Linked DNA regions of Drosophila melanogaster. The protein of the gene in region 1 interacts with the protein of each later gene in a pairwise test. Each region holds a gene or a part of one and is shown on either strand. Other genes may lie near its edges. The genes, in order: CG32267 and CG15136.

Region 1 (8,527 bases):
CTGTATAGCTTAATATTTAAATTCTTTTATATGGTGTCCAAAAGTATGCTACAATAAAATATTATTTCGACTAGGTGACTTTCCATGCCAACGCATTTCCATTTTTACGAGCCCCCTCATGTATGCGGCAATAAATTAAATCAAAACATTCAGGACTTGACCTTGAGTGCCCGGGACAGATGAACACATCAAGGATGCACAAAGGGCAAGCAATTTTACGGCATGCAGTCCATTGGCGGTCAGTTTGGGGGCCATGAACCCCGCATATATCCTTTCGTTTCGTGTGACCGTGTGTGTGTGTGTGTTTGTCAGGACCCCGGGTGCAATTTGCCTTCGCAACATACAGTGTGCACTCACTCACTCACTTACATGTTTGTGGGCGGGCAAATAAGCATAACGAGCTCCATTATCCTTGGGGAAAACTGGTTTGGGATGCAGCCTTCTTGCTCTTGCATTACGCATACGCCATGTGACTCACAGCGGAAAGCGCGGAGGGCGACTGGGGAAAACTCTTTTGTTGCTGCACCGCCAAATTGAAATAATATGCAGGGGACAGCATATATATATATGAAAAGGAAATGGAAAAGCAAGTTCCAAGCATCAGGAGATGAAAAAAGCATGAGTCAGCAGATGTTATATATACACTTATCGCAGGATATGCGAGACCAAAGGATTAAGGGCGCTGTGGTCGCTCGAAAAAGGGGGGATTTGTTTAATCGCAGAAATGTTGCTTTTAACAAGTGCTCCAAATAGTAAAGTTCATATTAAAATAAATAAAAGTAATTTATCATTTATGACCATATGGTTACCTATAAATTGTCATTTGTTTTCCCTTAGAATTCAAGGGTACCAAAACAAGTTATTTAATACTTTTCCTGTGCATTTAAAAAACAGAAAATAATAACATAATGCCTATGACAAGGACGCAGGACATCATCCAGCCGGAGGATTGAGATCCTGTGGACTAGAGGCCATTGTACACACGTAGGTCACAAGCGACAGTTCCTGCTCCTCTTTTGACTTTTGTTTTTGATAGCGAGCTTGAAACGAGTTTCCCCCTTTTGCAGAACTCCCATCCAGCCACCCTCCTGGGTTTTCCCCATTTTCCGTTTTGCCGGCTGGGGCGGCATCATTAACATTATGTAAGCAACAACAACAACAACAACCGGCGACAGCAACAGACGGTAGTGCTTTCACCTTTCTCCTCCTGCAAAACTACACCTGAAGTTGTAATTTATGCTCTGACAAAATTTTTTTTTTTTTTTTTTTTTTTTTTTTTTTTTTTTTTACGATGATGTTTTTATTATTTGATCAACGCACTGTTACCCATGCGGCAACTTAATTTGATCTGCTTAAATTATTTTATTTTACAATGTGTCTTGGTTACTTAAGACTAACAGATTTTTAATCCTAAAAATGATAGGGAGAATTATAATAGTTGATATAACATAGTAATTATTATTTATTTGATTATTCTAATGAATTTTAAAACTAAGACTTTCTAGGTCAAAACCAGGTTAGGGAGGTCATGAGGGTGGTGTCGCTTGAGTCTTCTTTTGACTCTAGTCCGAGGGTCAGCATTGACCACAGCTGCAGTTCCTAGCTTCCTTGCTAGGCTGTTGGGGTGTACAACTGACAAAATGGCGCACACGGAAAAAACACAGAGAATTGGGTGGTGGAAAGTGAACGGGGGGGTTAGACCTCTCACGTAACAACAAATGGGGCTAAAAAGGTGGTACAAAGGAGGCCGCATAGTTGGCCTATGTGTTGCACTTGACGGGGTAGCTACTTTTATGTATTTATTTATGTTTATACATATATGTATCTCAGGCGCTTGGCCTTTATGACCGCATAAATTAAAGCATCAACCATTGAAATATTTTATCATGAGTAACAGAAGGAGATGTAAGGATTTTTAAACGAGCTACACTGTGTCCTTAGTAGTTATAATCTGTGAAATAATAGAAGGAATCTTAAAGGTTTGAAAATTAGTTTCATAACTATGAAACTGAGTATCTTGTTAACACTTTTCCCATTCATGTTCAAACTTCGTTAAAGAGATTTCTTTTGTTTAATAAAGTCGATTTTTCGTGATTTTAATCCCAGCTTTCCTGAAAATTAATTTTACGACTGCAGCACTTGCCATCCGCATGAAGAATATCTGCGATTTTCAACTTTACATCCCACGCTGTTGGCAGCAAAAACTTTAATGGCCGGCCATAAAGGAGGAACCACACCGAATTGTTTGTACTGCCGCCACGATTGCGAGTGGAAGAAAAGCCAAAGATACATAAGCAAACACATGCATTCGCCTAGGTGAAAAGTTTTGAGCCAACTGCATAAACGAAACTTCTTATAAAGTCTATAAAACGTAATGACTCGCGCTACATGCGCGCCCAGAAAAGTATGCAACAAAAGTTCCGCTGACTTTGACTTGACAGGATGAAAATCGAGCGGAGCACAGGACTCTGGGAAATTCCAACAGGAGAATATTAAGTTTTCCACGGTCCCAGATGGGGGAATTGATTAAAGCCGCAGTGGCAGGGAATGAGACGGATTTGGTGCAGGAATTAAACGAAATTGGAAAAGTTGGAGGCGCAACGATGAAATCTTTAAATCTGATTAAGTTCAGACTAATTTACCAAAGTACCAAGGAGTTTTTACAGATCTTAGAGAGAAGCTTTCCTAAATATTTTTTATTAAGACACAAAAATGGTTGCCTGATTAAAAATTCAAACGAATTTAATTTAACAAATCTGCCGAATGCCATTGCTAATTCACCAAATTAATGTCAACAGCAATTCGGGTCAGAAGGGCCCAAATGATATTGCATTGAATAAATTAAATTAAATACTTTACTATTTCTACATTTATTGACAAATAGAAAGCAAAGCTCAATCAATTGAACAATTTTAAAAGTATATTGGCGAATGATATTAATATTGAATTTTCCTGGAAATACCACATCTAATTATTGTAATGCAAATATTGTCCAAATTAATTTAGACTTGTTTGTCTTGCTAATTGACAACGATCCCACATTTCCCTTAGGTAATATAAACTTTGAATTCTTTTTATCTGAATTTAATATGCCTGCTTTTCAGTGCTGATTACTTGGATTTTTTCCCATAGATCTTCGCTCTTGTTCGGGCTTTTCGAAGCTCCACTGTAGCGACCTCCTCACTGTGCATTCGTGACGTCAAGTCGAGTCGATTGGGGAGTGTGACTGCACTTGAAAATCGACCAAGGCGCTCGGCAATCGTTGGTGGCTGAAGGATGGTTGAAGGATGAAGGGTTTTCTGCAACAAAATGTCAAATCACCGACACCAGGCCACCGATACTAGGACACTTTCACCCACACCGACAAGAGCAAACAGCAAATTTGCAAGCTACATCGCGCCAATGTGTTTGTATTGGCTGTATCTGTGTTTGTACTGTGTGTGTGCGTGTGTGCTTGGGCGGACTGGCAATTGAAATTGGTTTGCAAAATGGCAGCTATTTATATTTGGCCAGGAGTCGTCTGCACTTGTCACACTGATTTCTGCCGATTAGAAATTAATCGAATTTTACTGTCAAATCGAAAGCGGCGGGCGTTCAGGAAGTTGAAGTTACGCTGCCATGGAAATGCAAAAACAAGCAAGCACAGACACGCACGCATACCAAAGCACAGAGGCGGGAGTATCCTGAAGATTAGGGTGATTCGAAAAATAAAATTGTACTGAGATTTATTTCGAGGTACATCCCCAGAAACTTGAAAAAAAAACTTTATACAACATTATATATGGTTTTTCAAAAGGGTTAAATGTTACTATCACAACAAATCTTTATTGGTCCTTTTAAATTGAGCCACCCTAATGGACGCACACACACACCCACACTTCCGCAGACTGACAGACACTGACACTGAATGTTACGCAGTCGGCGGTCTTGTAGGCAAAATACCGTAACATTTCGCCCGATTGCTGATAATCTGCCTTTATATAAGCTGGGAAAATTAAAAGGACACCCATCAGAGGTCCTTTGCGATATTTGATTGGCATTGCTTTGACTCCTCTCACCTGTTCCACAACTGTCGACATTTTGGTCTGTGTTTTATTTAACTAACTGCACTGCTCGCTATTTTGCTTCACTTTGTCGCTGTGCTTTTCGCACTTTTCGTTTCAAAAAAGGATTCGAAAAATTTATTTTTTAAAACCGCACCGCATTTTGGTTGTGTTTGCTTTTTCTTGAGAGATTTTACAATTGTACGAGCTTTGGGGGAAAATTCTTTAGCTTCGAACGCGCAACGAATCCGACGAGTTGCTGCTGCTGAAATCAACTAAAAACCCTTTTTTGGCGAGCAGGATACTCACGGATTTTTATCCTTGCTTAAGAGTAGTGTGACCATCCATGTGGTTGGAAATATACCGAAATATACCGGTGGCAGGATTAGGAAAAAGGTGCAGCACTCCGATATTTTTGCTCACAGCTGTTAACAGAGGTTAACAGTGCTGATTGTATTTCAATGTAATTGAATTAAATTAAAATACATAACATACATAACTAAAAAACATAATTATTATAATTATTATTATTGCAATGTTTGTTTTCTACTGAATATGACATATGGAAATATTTGCCGCACTGTATGTTTCAGCAAGCCAGGAACGGTCACTCTGACAACTTTTTGGTGCGACTCGCACGTTTTTCTTTGTAAATAAATAAAAAAAATATATTAATCAAGGATGTTCCGCCTGCAGCAGTCACAACCCGATCCCGCCGAGGAGCAGAAGCGCGTGGCAGCCGAAGTCCGCTTCAATTTCATCCTATTTGGAGCCGTAATAGCCGCTGTTCGCTTGGGTACGTGAAATTCTTATGTAAAGTCACTAAAGTTACTAATATTTTCCATTTGTTTATCTTGTGTAAATAGCTCCCATAGTCCTGAAGCATTTAAATACGGCGTAGAAGAAAAAATGATCGAAGAAGACTAAAAGCTGTCTACTTATTTAAAAACGTTATCAATTACCTAGTTGTTCAAGAAATTATAGCAAAATCCTAAGCAACTGGCACGCGAAATGCATTTATTTAAAAGCACTCTGACCCATTTGATGTCTTTTAAAGTTTAAATCGATGCATTGTAAATGTTTGGTAACTGTCGAGCGAATGGAAGCGAATAAAAAACAAGAAACATGTAACTTATAAGCCAAGGCTTTTAATGTTAAAAAATACTATAAAAACATATAAGAATGTGGATCTTTTAACGGGCAATGGGTATCTAGTCTTAAAATGAAATTAAACCATAATAAAACAAATCTTATTGTGAACAATCCCTGTTCAAATAATTTTAAAGCTTCCGCAATCGATATATCGATAACGCACTCCCATTAGCCACCAGAGCTGGCACATCTAGCCCAAATCGCTGTACTGCTCCTCCCACGCCAGTCGATTCTGGCGCAAAACAAGCCGGGCGCCCATCACTGCCTGTGTATAAACAGTTGGCAAGAAACGAAGTCGAAAAACAGAAGTTTTGCTCGAAATGGCAGCGTAAAAAACCATTAAAGCCACTTTCATTACTGCACGGCCGAGTCGGAATATATACATATATAGAATAGTGACAGATAACAGGCGGAGAGGCGGAAAAGCAGCGGAACACCCGGAACATATTGATACATATGGACGTAGACTTCAAGATAACGAAAGAAGTAAGTTGCCGCGTCGCGTTTTCCATACATTTACCTTTCACTAGCTGTTTCTTTAGCTTTCAGGCATTTCCGATAATATATAATGGTGGCGGCCAAGTACGAGCGGCTGAATACCAGTGGTGAGGCGGCCGGGAACGGAAATGGGAATGCCAGCGATGCAGAAGACGAGGAGATCGAACTCCATTTGGCGCAGAAGACGCAGCTGGGTAATGGCCATCGGTTGCGCCAGAGCAACTTCAAGTACGCCAGCGGAAAGTGCGGATCCGGAGAGGCGCCGTGCACCAACGAAACGGCCACGTTGGCCCAGGAGAACATGATGATGCAAATGGCCGTGGGTACGCTGGCCATTATCTTCCTGTATCTGGCATTATCCATATCGCTGACATTCTACCAAACGGACATCAACCGGCAGATGCCCTTTCCCCTGGCCATCGTAACCTATCATTTGGTTGTGAAGTTCCTTCTGGCCGCCGCGGCGCGCAGAATCTACAGGATGCGAGTGGGCCGATCGCGGGTTCAGTTGGATTGGAGGCTCGCCCTGCGGAAAATGGCACCCACGGGAGTTGCCAGTGCCATCGACATTGGATTCTCCAACTGGGGCCTGGCCCTGGTGCCCATTTCCCTCTACACCATGACCAAGTCCTCGACCATTGTTTTTATCCTGCTGTTCGCCATCGCTTTTGGACTGGAGAAGAAGGTAAGCCAATGTGCTATATGCAAATACATACTGAAATAATTATATTTAAAATCACGTAAACAAGTTTTTATGAGCGTTATCTACTTAACTGTATAAAAAGACCTTACAGGTGCAAAAATGTTTACAACTTTTAAAGCTTCTTATCAAGTAATTTGACTTAAAGGGAATTAGATATAATATAAGAACATACTGCTTAAACATTTTAGTCATTAACAGTTTTCAAGTAATGGTATTGATATCCCTCAACGATTGCGAAACATTTTTGGAAACCAAGTAATTTCAGTATTTTATCAAATATATATAAGTTCTTTGATCATATTTTTACCTATTGAAATCAAAACAAATGCACTTAATGAGACTTGATTATTTTCCAACAGCAACACGATAAAGAAAAGATAAAAAACATTATCTCGGATATTATTTTTGTAGACCACAAATGTTGCATTATTATCAGTCAATTGTAAGCAATCCATTTACCTAGTCACTTAACTTGTAGATAACGAATTTGGCATATTTATAAACATGCGATGATGTTGATATTAACTTTAGACCAAATGCTTATCAGTTAGATAATAAAAAAGGAAATAAAAATAGCACCAAACAGGTTTTATATGTGCTAAGTATTTGAAACCTGCTAGTGTAGTTTCTTATGACTAGACCTGAATTGGTAAAACCCAAGAAGTGAATAAGAATTATCAAAAATTGCACTTTCTTTGTGTCAAAATGGTATTAATGGCATTATTTACTTTCAGAGCTGGTATCTGGTCTCGATTGTGGGCCTGATAGGCACTGGCCTTCTGATGTTCACCTACAAGTCAACGGACTTCAATGCCCTTGGTTTCTTCTTCATCCTTTTCGCCTCGCTGAGCAGCGGACTGCGATGGAGTTTCGCGCAGTTCATAATGCAGAAATCGAAGCTAGGCTTGCACAATCCCATCGATATGATATATTACATGCAGCCGTGGATGATTGCCTCGCTGGTGCCCCTCGTAATTGGAATCGAAGGTTAGTTTGTGGCTTATTACTTGAAAATATGTTGGTAATCACACCCCCAATCCTCTCCAGGTGCCGGGCTCATCGCGGTAATAGAAGATCTGCACAACCACACTTCGAATGAGATAACTTGGGCCATTGCGAGGATATCAGCGGGCGCTTTGCTGGCTTTTCTCATGGAGTTCAGCGAATTCTTGGTGCTCTGCAAGACCTCCAGTCTGACGCTCTCGATAGCCGGCATTTTCAAGGATATCTGCCAGTTGGCACTAGCCGTGACTATCAGAAAAGACCACCTGAGTGTCATCAACTACATTGGCTTGATCATTTGCCTGGCTGGTATCGTTTGCCACCTACTGCACAAGTACTCCAATATGAAGGAGATGCAGCGGCAGCAGGAGTTGCAGCTCGATAACGACCAGGAGGAGTCGTCGCCAGGGGAGTACAAATTCAACGATGGCAGTGCCATTGTGGGTGTCCATGTGAAGTCGCACTCCACGCTGACGGTGCCATTGCTGGAGCAAACCGACTCGGAGGACGAGTCTGGTGCAAGCAACAAACAGAACGCCTCCGATGTGATCTTCGACGTGCTGAAGCGACGCGACATGCAGCGATGAAAGCCAATCCTTGTACAGATGTCCTGTAAATGTTGTAAATTCAAACTACTTTTATGTTTACCAGCACCTTGGCCCACGCAACTACTTACTACACTGGGATTAGCAATGCATGTTTAAGTAAGCTAGTTAGTTTGACACTCTTCATTCCTTCCGTCACCGATTCCCTCAACTTCCTCGATGCATTCCCGCCTTGTGCATTTAGGGGCTAGGCTAGATATATGAGACGTACGTCAAATTGAAGTGTAAAGAGTAACATCCATGTTTAAGTTGATTCGATTGTAACGACACGAAATCTAAGGAACGAAGAGTATTCTTTGGACAATCAATTAACTTCTAATAGCAGTTAGTTTTAATCTTTTTGCATTTGTGAAGCTGAAAATGTATTGAGAACTGTCCAAAGTTTGCTTGAGTTCCGAAATCTATCTCGTTTCTTTTTTGTAAAAACTCGATCTTAAGTCATACAACCTATGTAAAAATAAGAAAGCCTTAATGACCCTTTCATTGTTCCTTAACTGACATCTTTAATTTGGCATTCCAAATTG
Region 2 (9,226 bases), on another chromosome or scaffold:
AATAAGTAAAAATTAACAAAATGAATGGGAAATTCCCTGATAAAGGTTATAGACTTTGCTATATTCGTAGCCTTTTTTGTAAAGGCTTGTAAGGCTAAATATTGGCTTATACTTTATAATATTCCCCACTTATTTCTGAGGGATCCGCCCTCGTTTATATATATACGTATTTATGCACACATTTGAAGACCCTATCGTGTACGTTTCGGTACCCCCAGATCTCATCTTTCTGCTCATCCGAAACTTTACAACAAATTAAATTCAAGCCAAAACTTTTGGCAGCAAGGGCTTGTGAAATTCGAAGGCTAAGGTGCATGGACCATATAGTGTGGGTGCCCGAAATCGATACAAAGTTTGCTTTGTACGGCATTAAATTCACTTGCCATATGCAAGTGGCACCGCATCACTAGCAGCTGTGGCTTATGAAGTGCATTAACAAAGGGGGCAGGGACCCCAAGTCCGCTTTCCGTTCCGTTGGAAATGTATCTGCATTTTTAACGGCATATTTTAATGCCTGATTTTTAACGTCAACTCGACGCACTTATTGACAGCTGCGACAGGAGCGGCCCCAAACCTCCACCTTGATGCATATGTCATGCGATACAGAAATTTATTTGCCCCGAAACGCCGCAGGATACCCCAGCGGATCGAAGGCATAAAAAATGTTTAATTTAATTTTTGTCGCACCAGGGAGAAAAAGAAGAAATGCGTCCCGGCTACGCCTTGACTTTTTACCCACATGTATATGCATAAAGGCTTGCATACATTTTGTCATGGCAACTGCTGTTCAAACATAAAACGCTTAAAAAATGTTTATAGGTAAATATTTACTGTTCACGGTTTTTTCTTTGGGAAAAAGTTCGGGGAGTGTCGATAAAAGCTATAACTGCTGAGCCGGGCGCTAATCGACGTATGTCAAATTTTGATTGAGTTTTAATATCGGTGGCTGAACGGCGTAATTGATAATCATTCAATTATCAGAGCACTGAGTGCAAGTACCATTCATTGGTTCAGTTAAAATTTGTCAAAAAAATACCTTGCTGAAATATTTAGGAACTTAAGTATCTGAAAGCGATGAAAGGATGTGAGTATGAATGTGTAATAAATATAGTTATGAGTGTAAATTAAAGAATTCAGATAATTTCATTATTAGCTTGTAAAATGAAACATATTTATTATAATAATAAAAAAATATTTGAAAACCAATTATGCAATGGAAATAGAGCATATTTATCTAGCTCAAGTTCCTTTCTTAGACTGCAAAAATCTTAAAGTAAACTTTAAAGTGATTTTACTAGGTCCCACCATCATTTTTATTCAATTTAAGCCACTTCAGCTCCCTTTTCCCGTACAGCTCGTGCATCTGATTGTGAGTTACAACAAGAGATTCAGAGGGATACAACCCGTATGGCTTTGGCGAAGTGAAGGAACCAGGGAGCGATGCATGCAAATTGGACATTGCACTGATGAGCGATGTCCTTCTGCATTTCTGCCTTTCTGTCTGTGCGGTGCACTGGCTTGTTTAATTGCAACTAAAAGCGGAAGCCAACAACAGAGCAGAGTGCAAAATGGCAAAAAGAAAGACACGAATATAACGCTGACTGCTCCCCTGAACTGTGTCAAAAACAAGGACCAACAGCTGCGAAAAAAGCCCACACTCTCACACAGAAACGAGGCGAAACTAAAGATTCGCACACGAGTTTGTTGTTTAGTTTTGCTCGTTTGTTTGTTTGTCGCCCTGTTTGTTTGGCGTACGTTACTTCCTGCAATTTGCACACTGCCAAAGCGTCAACTTTCCTCAGTGGCATTGCAAAAAAATGTATTAAATATATACTAAACTGTTAAGCCCACATTTACATCTTTAAAGTTTTTTATATATATATATTTTAATCCTAGTGCCTGAAAGCCGAAGTAACGTAGATATCCATGCCATCTCCTTAGAAGGATACCTTTATTTAATAATCAACTCAAACTGAAACAGAAATTCAAACTAGTTATGAAGTAGTTTTGTAATTTGATCAATAGCAGATCATTAAGACTAACTTCATATGGGAGCAAACTTACTAGGAAGCTTTCTGATACGGGACTGCAGGCACTATTCTCATATGGAGACGGCGACATCCTTTCCCTCTCTGCAGGATGCAGGAGATCTGGGTGGGTGGCGAGAAGGTGAGAAGGGGCGTGTGGCCTGTCCGGGGGGCAAACAGAGACGAGTCGGCTTTCCTTTCTGACACACTATTTTGCATGTTGCATGAGCTGTCTCTCTCGTTCGCTTTCTCCCCTTTCTCCGGCCCCTTTCACCTGTGCCTGGCACATATGTCACTTGTCTAAATGGCAACGACAACGCTCACCCGAACTGGCCAGCCGATGGATGTGGCCAGGACGATGGTTTGGGGTGTGAAGAGGAGTGCAAGGGGACAGGTGAAATTTGCTGCCGACTGGCCATGCATGCAAATGCAACATTTGCAACTGTTTGAGTCGCTGTTTTCTCTTCCTATACCCTAACAGCAGGAGTTTTAATCTTTTAAAGCCATCTTCATTTTAATAGCCTTTAAAGTGATTTAAATATATGTATAATTGTTTTAAACCTTCTTTTTAATATTTTCCAAAGTTTATAGTGCCGTTTTTAAAATTAGTTTTTTTTTAGGTAAGAGTGGTTTCTGCTTCGGTTATAGAGACTTTTCTAGCTTTTCTTGTTTTTGCAGTTGCTTTCGCCAACAAGGTGGCAACACTGACACCAAGCAACGACACCAGCAACCCTGCTGCAACAGCAAAAACATGTGGCAAGACTACACCAACAACCGGCAGTAATTTGGACACCTTGTCTATGTGTGTTTGCTTAGGCGGGCGATAAAAAATATGGGAAGTCGGAAAAGCGGGTCTAACGGACCAAATGAACATCTAGGGAAAACGTGGGTAAAGGGTTAAAAGCAAATATGAGAGTCTAGACTATATTTGGATGCATGACAAAAAAACCTAAATAATATTCAATATTTCATTTCTAATAGTACGTTCAATTCGTTTAAATGTTAGTTTCCAAGAAATTGTTCACACAGAAGAAAAGCTATTTGCAGTATAATTGGTATAAAAACGAATTTCTATTTCATAATTGAGCTCAAGACACTTACAGCCTAATGAAATTTATTTATGCAATTTAACAAATAAAAAAATAACCCCTTTTGGCCTTCCTAATCAAGTTTGTCAACGATTTAACGCACATCAATTAAAGCCGCTCAAAGATGGAACGCTTAATGATGGCCTTTGTTTTCATCACTCTCCATGGCCAGTCATTCGACCAGTCAGTTAGTCAGTCAGTTTGTCTATCTGCTGTCCCTTTATATATATTATTGCGGATATGTATGTCTGTCCCTGTGGGGCTTCCCGGCAGTGCTGCTGATTTTATACATTCAAATTAGTTCGCTTTGCACGAGTGGCCCTCGAATGAGAGAGAGTACTGCTGTGATATTTCCCGACCACGGCTGACTGGCCAGGCAACCAAGCAACCCGTCGGAACACGGCACAACCGCTCCAATGCCACTACAGCATACATACATACACAAAGATATATGTATATACATATATATATGGAGGGGGTCCGGATTGGGGGGCTATCAAGTTGCCTGTGAAGTGCTTATCCTCAAATCAGTGACACTTGAATGTGCAGCCCATGTGACTGACCAAGTGGGTGACTGACTGACTGCTGAGCGACCAGAGCTGTCATCTTGGCTACTTTCCCTTCACAAATAATATAATGTAATATAATACAATTTAATATTATTCGTTTTTATATTAACGGTTTATATCTGAGGCATATTCTGACATGACTTCTTCATTCAAAGCTGAATAAAAGATATGATACGTTACTCCTTCAAGGGAAATACGCCAACACTGAGCAGCAACTTTACAAAAGTGCGAAGACTTCGTTTCATCTATTTACTTTGCCCTTCGACCACCGCTTGCCATTTGAATCTGAAACTGTCCAACAATTTGAGTGTTGTTTGTGTCCCTGATTGAGTAGCTAAATAAACTTTGGCCTTTTATTTAATTTAACGGATTTATGACTGTCGAAGATAATTGTCAAATGGCTTAATAGTGTTATTGAAACAGGAAGAACTACATGGTATTTTTTTACACAAAATGTATAGAATAAGAAGTCAAAAAAAAAAAAAACATCCCTTCAGAAACTAACAAATTAGTCGGACTAAACCTATAAGCTGAAAAACCTTGTCTATTCCACAAAATGGCCAATAAATTAGCGCAAGTAATTTGCGCAATTAACTAAAAACAGTTAAAACCGCTATTTGTTCGGTTAGCGAAATCGCTCGATACAGCAGCGCGAATGCAATGAATTGGCAATAAATTCTCGGTTCTCGGTTGAAACTTTCTCTAACCCCTTTCTCTTTATTTTATTCGATTGTGTGGGTGTGTCGGCAGAGTCAACTAATTTATGTTTTAACACACTCGCACATGCAAATTAGCACACACACAAAATGAATGCAAATATTGGGTTCCAAGGGGGCTGAAGCTGCCATAATGAGCTCAAGTTGGGCAAATGGCTGAATGGGTGAATGGGTCTGAGGTTTTCAGGCGTTCTTTGCGGTTCATCTGGCAACAACTGTTGACAAAATGAAATCAATAAATTTTAGCGCAAATCAATTAAAATACACCAGCCAGATTGAATTAGAGTGCTGGGTGCTTTTGGTCTTCTTCTTGTTGGCCAAACGAAAATATTTGTCAATTTGCGGTATTCACAAAATTAAATTTGACACACACGCACCAGCAAGATGGAATGTCAGGATGAGTTTTAGGCAATTTTATCTCACTTTGTGTGAAATTTGTTATAATTTATTTATACGGCTTATTAAAATTATTGTAAGTTCGGCCATTTAATTAAAAGTCAAACTTTATTTGCAACGAGAAAAGCGGAGCAAACATGACAGTTGAAAGTGGAATCAAATTTATGAAATCGAATTATGGCATGCATGGATTTGAAGCAGTTTTCGGGTTAAGCCCCAATAAGATGGATAAACCCATAAATCCTCAAAATAACAATCTAACAGAAATTGAATGGAGGTAAATAACCTTTGACATTTCAAAGAAATTACAAGGAATCGGGACAAAGGAGCATGGTTAACTTACTTTTTTTGAAATAGTTTTCTATTTAATTGAGTTGTACGTTCTGCAATCATAAATTGTGTATGTAAATAATAGTGTAGCTTTAATCGTAGTTGACTTTTCATTACTTATCCAATTAAATTTCAAAGGCCAAGCATTAAAAATAGTAGGAACACAAATTACTTCGTGAAGACAAACGTTGAGAGATAAACACCCTCATAGCAAAAATCGGCCAATACCAAAGTTTTGGCAAAATATTTTGGAAGCGGCTGTCTTTGGTCATTCATTAATATTTGGCACTGAATACCGGTAAGAAAATCAAATAATCAGGTAGTTTGCCCTGCCATAATTGTCAACTGAGCATTTAAGCAGAATAGAAAAGCTACTTGAAATCGTCCGGCCGGAACTCAAATGTAGATTTGAAAAACTATTCAAGTGTTAAGTGCTCTGCTGACCATGTTGAAGGACACCGCCACCGCATCGACCAGCGAACTTGCAGGGGAAGTGGGTGACGCCCATTCGACTCCTGGCAGCTGCCCTCCGCCCGCCGCGGGCGACACGCCCCCCGTCGTTAGCCGACCGCTGGACCGACGCCTAAACCCCAACGCACCTGTGTTTGTGCCCGACTTCAAGGCCAGCCAGGTGGCCAAAAAGCTATTTGATGAGTGTAAGTACGGAAAGGAAATAATGTTTATTTAAAACAATATATATTGTATTTTGAAGCCCTTTATATATATTATGCTTTGACTTGCATAGGTTTTTAGTATTGTGCATTTATTTATTTCTTTTTAATTTCCTGATGGATTTATAAATTTAATACCCATGCAGTATCTACGTACACCCGGTGGAGTACGGCAACCTCGGAGGACATATGCTACGAGCCCCGTTACGAGTCCATCTGGCGTGAGGCCAGCATCCAGCAGCAGCAGGGTCTGCGCCATCCGGGTTTCGTTTACAGCCTGGATCCTGGCGAGGAGGAGGTTGGCGAACTGGAGTTTGACGAAGTCCAGGCCATGAATATCGGAGCCGAGTCCTATGATCCCAAGCTAGGAAGCACATCAGTTAGCCAGGCAATGGAAGTTCGCGAAACTGTGGGTGATGTGGAGGAACCTTTAGATGAGGAAAAAAGGAATGGCTTTCAGAATCGCCACTCCGCCAGACCGGCCAAAAAGTGCTGTCTGGTCATGTAGGTCCCACGGAATGGCAAATTTATATATTTATTTTCCATTTGTTTTCACACCTACATGCAACTCAGTAAATTGCTTCCTTACTCTCTCAATTTGTGTATTTTTTTCCTATACCATAGGTGCTTATAAGGGATTTCCCTTTTAGTAAGTAATTACATTTTTTCTGAATTTAATACGCTTCCAGCGCGAAGAATTAAATTCTACAGGTATTTTCCAACGTCGTTGCAATTAAGACGCTTTTCAGAACTTTCTAAATGCACTCCTTTCAAGCCCACTTACGGCAGACTGGAAGAAAGGAAGCTCCGTGGAGAAAGGTCGACTATACCTATGACATAATTTATAGCCTACATTTTAGCGCCCTAAACGGGTTTGTTTTACTTTCCACGAAGGCTCTTGCCTTTCTGCCTTCAGCTACTTTGTCCTGACTTTCTAATGATGTTGAATATGCATGAAAACTTTTGCCGCACGCAGAATTCTCCTCGCTGGATGGCAGCTGAAAGCTTGATTCACCTGTCTATGGGTAGCATGGCAGCAGGACTGCCTTCAGATTTAACTACCACTGAAAATAGTACGGGCTTAAATAACTAATTTTTAAACTCAATAAAATAACATGTGGAATTTAAAAAACACCTTCACTTTCAAATACGAGTGGCTATGCAAATTAAATTTTCATTTAAACTAGCGTTTTTTTACTCGTCCAAATAAAGTTCGAACATTTTCTTAGACTGCACACTTTTGCATTGTCTGTTAGCAAAGTGGCGACAACTTTTCATTTTTTTCGTTTCTTGATTATTTTAGTTTTACTCAATTTTTGGATAAGGAAGGAAAACTCATAAGGCGTTTGGGTGCTGGAGTGTGTGTCTAGTAATGAGAAAACTTTCGTGTCCTTGCAATGTCTCATTTAGAGCTGTCCGTACCCCGATGTCTGATGTCCCGAGCCACGGATAACGCAGCTGCCCACGACTTTTGAATGATAAGCGCGGCGAAAAGGACACGCAGTGCAGTCCCATCTGCAGCTGCACAAATGCTTGGCGGAAACAATTACCAACTCGTATGCAAAAGTGCCAAATTGCCAATGGAGCTTCTCCATGGGCGAAACTTTCACGCCGCTCAATGTCAGCGGGACATGTGAGCAAAAGGAGTCGAATGGAGGTGCCGGACCATACACCTGGGCCCCCCAATTTTTGGTCCTTTGGCAAGGATTCGCTTGGCAATTTTGTGCCAATTTTCTGCGCCTTCTGTTTGTTTATGAAACAAGTCACGTAAGCGACGAAACCCGTTCGCTCCTTTTGCCCTTTTTGGGCGCGTTGAACTGGCAGCTGGCTAAGTGGGCGTGCCATCACCTTGTTTTTGCCACTATTACTCTCCCCGTTGTTGTTGTTTCGCCCTGGGGCGATTGTCATTGGAATCGAGAATTCAGCAATTGGCAAACGTCACGAAAGCGGCTAAAACTTTTCACGATCTTTCGCGCCCTTTTGCCTGATTGTTGATTTGGCAATCTTTTGTTTTAGCCCGTTTTCGACTGCAACTTTGTCCTTTTTTCCGAGCCTTTTTGTTGGCTTGTTTTAGGTTGCTATTTATTGCATAAAATTTATGCCCGTATATTGTGCAATTGAAAAAGTTTGTCATATTTCTGTGATTTTCCGCCCTTATCGTCGTCTGAAGGACAGTACGTTTCGAAAATATAAGTACTTTGCAACAAGAATATTACGATTCAAGAAATTGTAGTGTTCACTTATTTATTTTTCATTATATATGATAAACATTATATATAATAACATTCCCATTGCGTAACGCACGGTATGGGACTCTCATGAAATGTTAAAATCAGGAGAAACCAAAGCCGCTGGCATAAACCATTATTTATGCATCGATTTCAAATCACCAAAACAAAACAGAACGGATTGGGCCAGAAAAAGAAAGTCCCAAATAAACACAATGACAAAACGGAAGGCGGCAAATAAATAGACAACACAGGAATATGGGCAAACAATGCCTGCAATAAATATCCACACATAAGTGCAGTGCACACAGTCGGGTTGTCTTTATGCACCTATAAATAAATTCATTTTGTGATATTTATGCCACGATATGGCAACGGCTAAAATGGCAATCAGTTCAATGACCAACAAAAGTTTGTCTTGTCTTGCAGTTTTTAGTATTGGCTAAGTATCCTGTGTGATTTTTAGGTATCTTAGGCCATTTGAATTCAAACAATATACCTTAAAAATAATTTATTACCAAAAATCGATCGAACTGGTTTAAATAAGATTTTTAATATTAATAAACTATTTGTCAAGATAATAAAAATTGGGATTATATGTACACAGCATTACATTCTTAGATAATCGATAGTTTTTCAAGGCTTATTTGCCTCACAAGCCCAACAGATTTTGTAGGATACTTTTCCTGCCTGTTTTCGAAGGGACTTTTCCCTCGGTCCTTTTTCACTTTTGCCACTCTACTCCTTTATCCACCTCTCTCTTTTAGTTGGCAGCACTTTTAGTTAAATTGAGCAACAAACACGTTTGGCAATAAAAATGATTCCACTTCCAGTTGCTGCTGCCACGCCCCCTTTGGCTCCCATGAGGACTTCCACCCCACCACCCATCGCCACCCCCTGCAAACATCTCCGGTTTGGAGTCCGTTTCGAAAAATGCAAGCCGCAATGCGCTGGCAGTGGAGTTTTGCACATTCTAACAGATTTATTTCACTCGAAATAGTTTCATTTTAGTTGCATTATTGTTATTGTTTGTTCGTTGTTGCTTTTACTGCTGTTATTGCTATTGTTGTTGCCGCTTGCCAGAGTGACTGCGGAAAGTTTTTCTATTATTTTCAAATTTAACTTTGCCATTTGTTTGAATTTCATGGATACACGTAGGGACAGCTGAAGTCGAAAGAATAGAACTCAAAAGTAGGGTTAA

What was found.
Region 2: the proteins of CG32267 (region 1) and CG15136 interact in a two-hybrid assay, tested with the Drosophila melanogaster proteins (one large-scale study listed by BioGRID).

Annotation. Positions count from the first base shown.
Region 1 is NT_037436.4:3,468,239-3,476,765, reverse strand, and holds CG32267 (uncharacterized protein), read left to right. Parts: upstream 1-4,652; 5' UTR 4,653-4,724; coding exon 4,725-4,839; intron 4,840-4,909; coding exon 4,910-4,944; 3' UTR 4,945-5,211; downstream 5,212-8,527. Other genes in the region: CG42324 (uncharacterized protein), read right to left, coding at 4,059-4,079; CG14971 (uncharacterized protein), read left to right, coding at 5,764-6,378, 7,131-7,383, 7,444-7,985.
Region 2 is NT_033779.5:17,044,327-17,053,552, reverse strand, and holds CG15136 (uncharacterized protein), read left to right. Parts: upstream 1-5,271; 5' UTR 5,272-5,424; intron 5,425-5,484; exon of another isoform or gene 5,485-5,487; 5' UTR 5,488-5,571; coding exon 5,572-5,782; intron 5,783-5,943; coding exon 5,944-6,305; 3' UTR 6,306-6,392; downstream 6,393-9,226.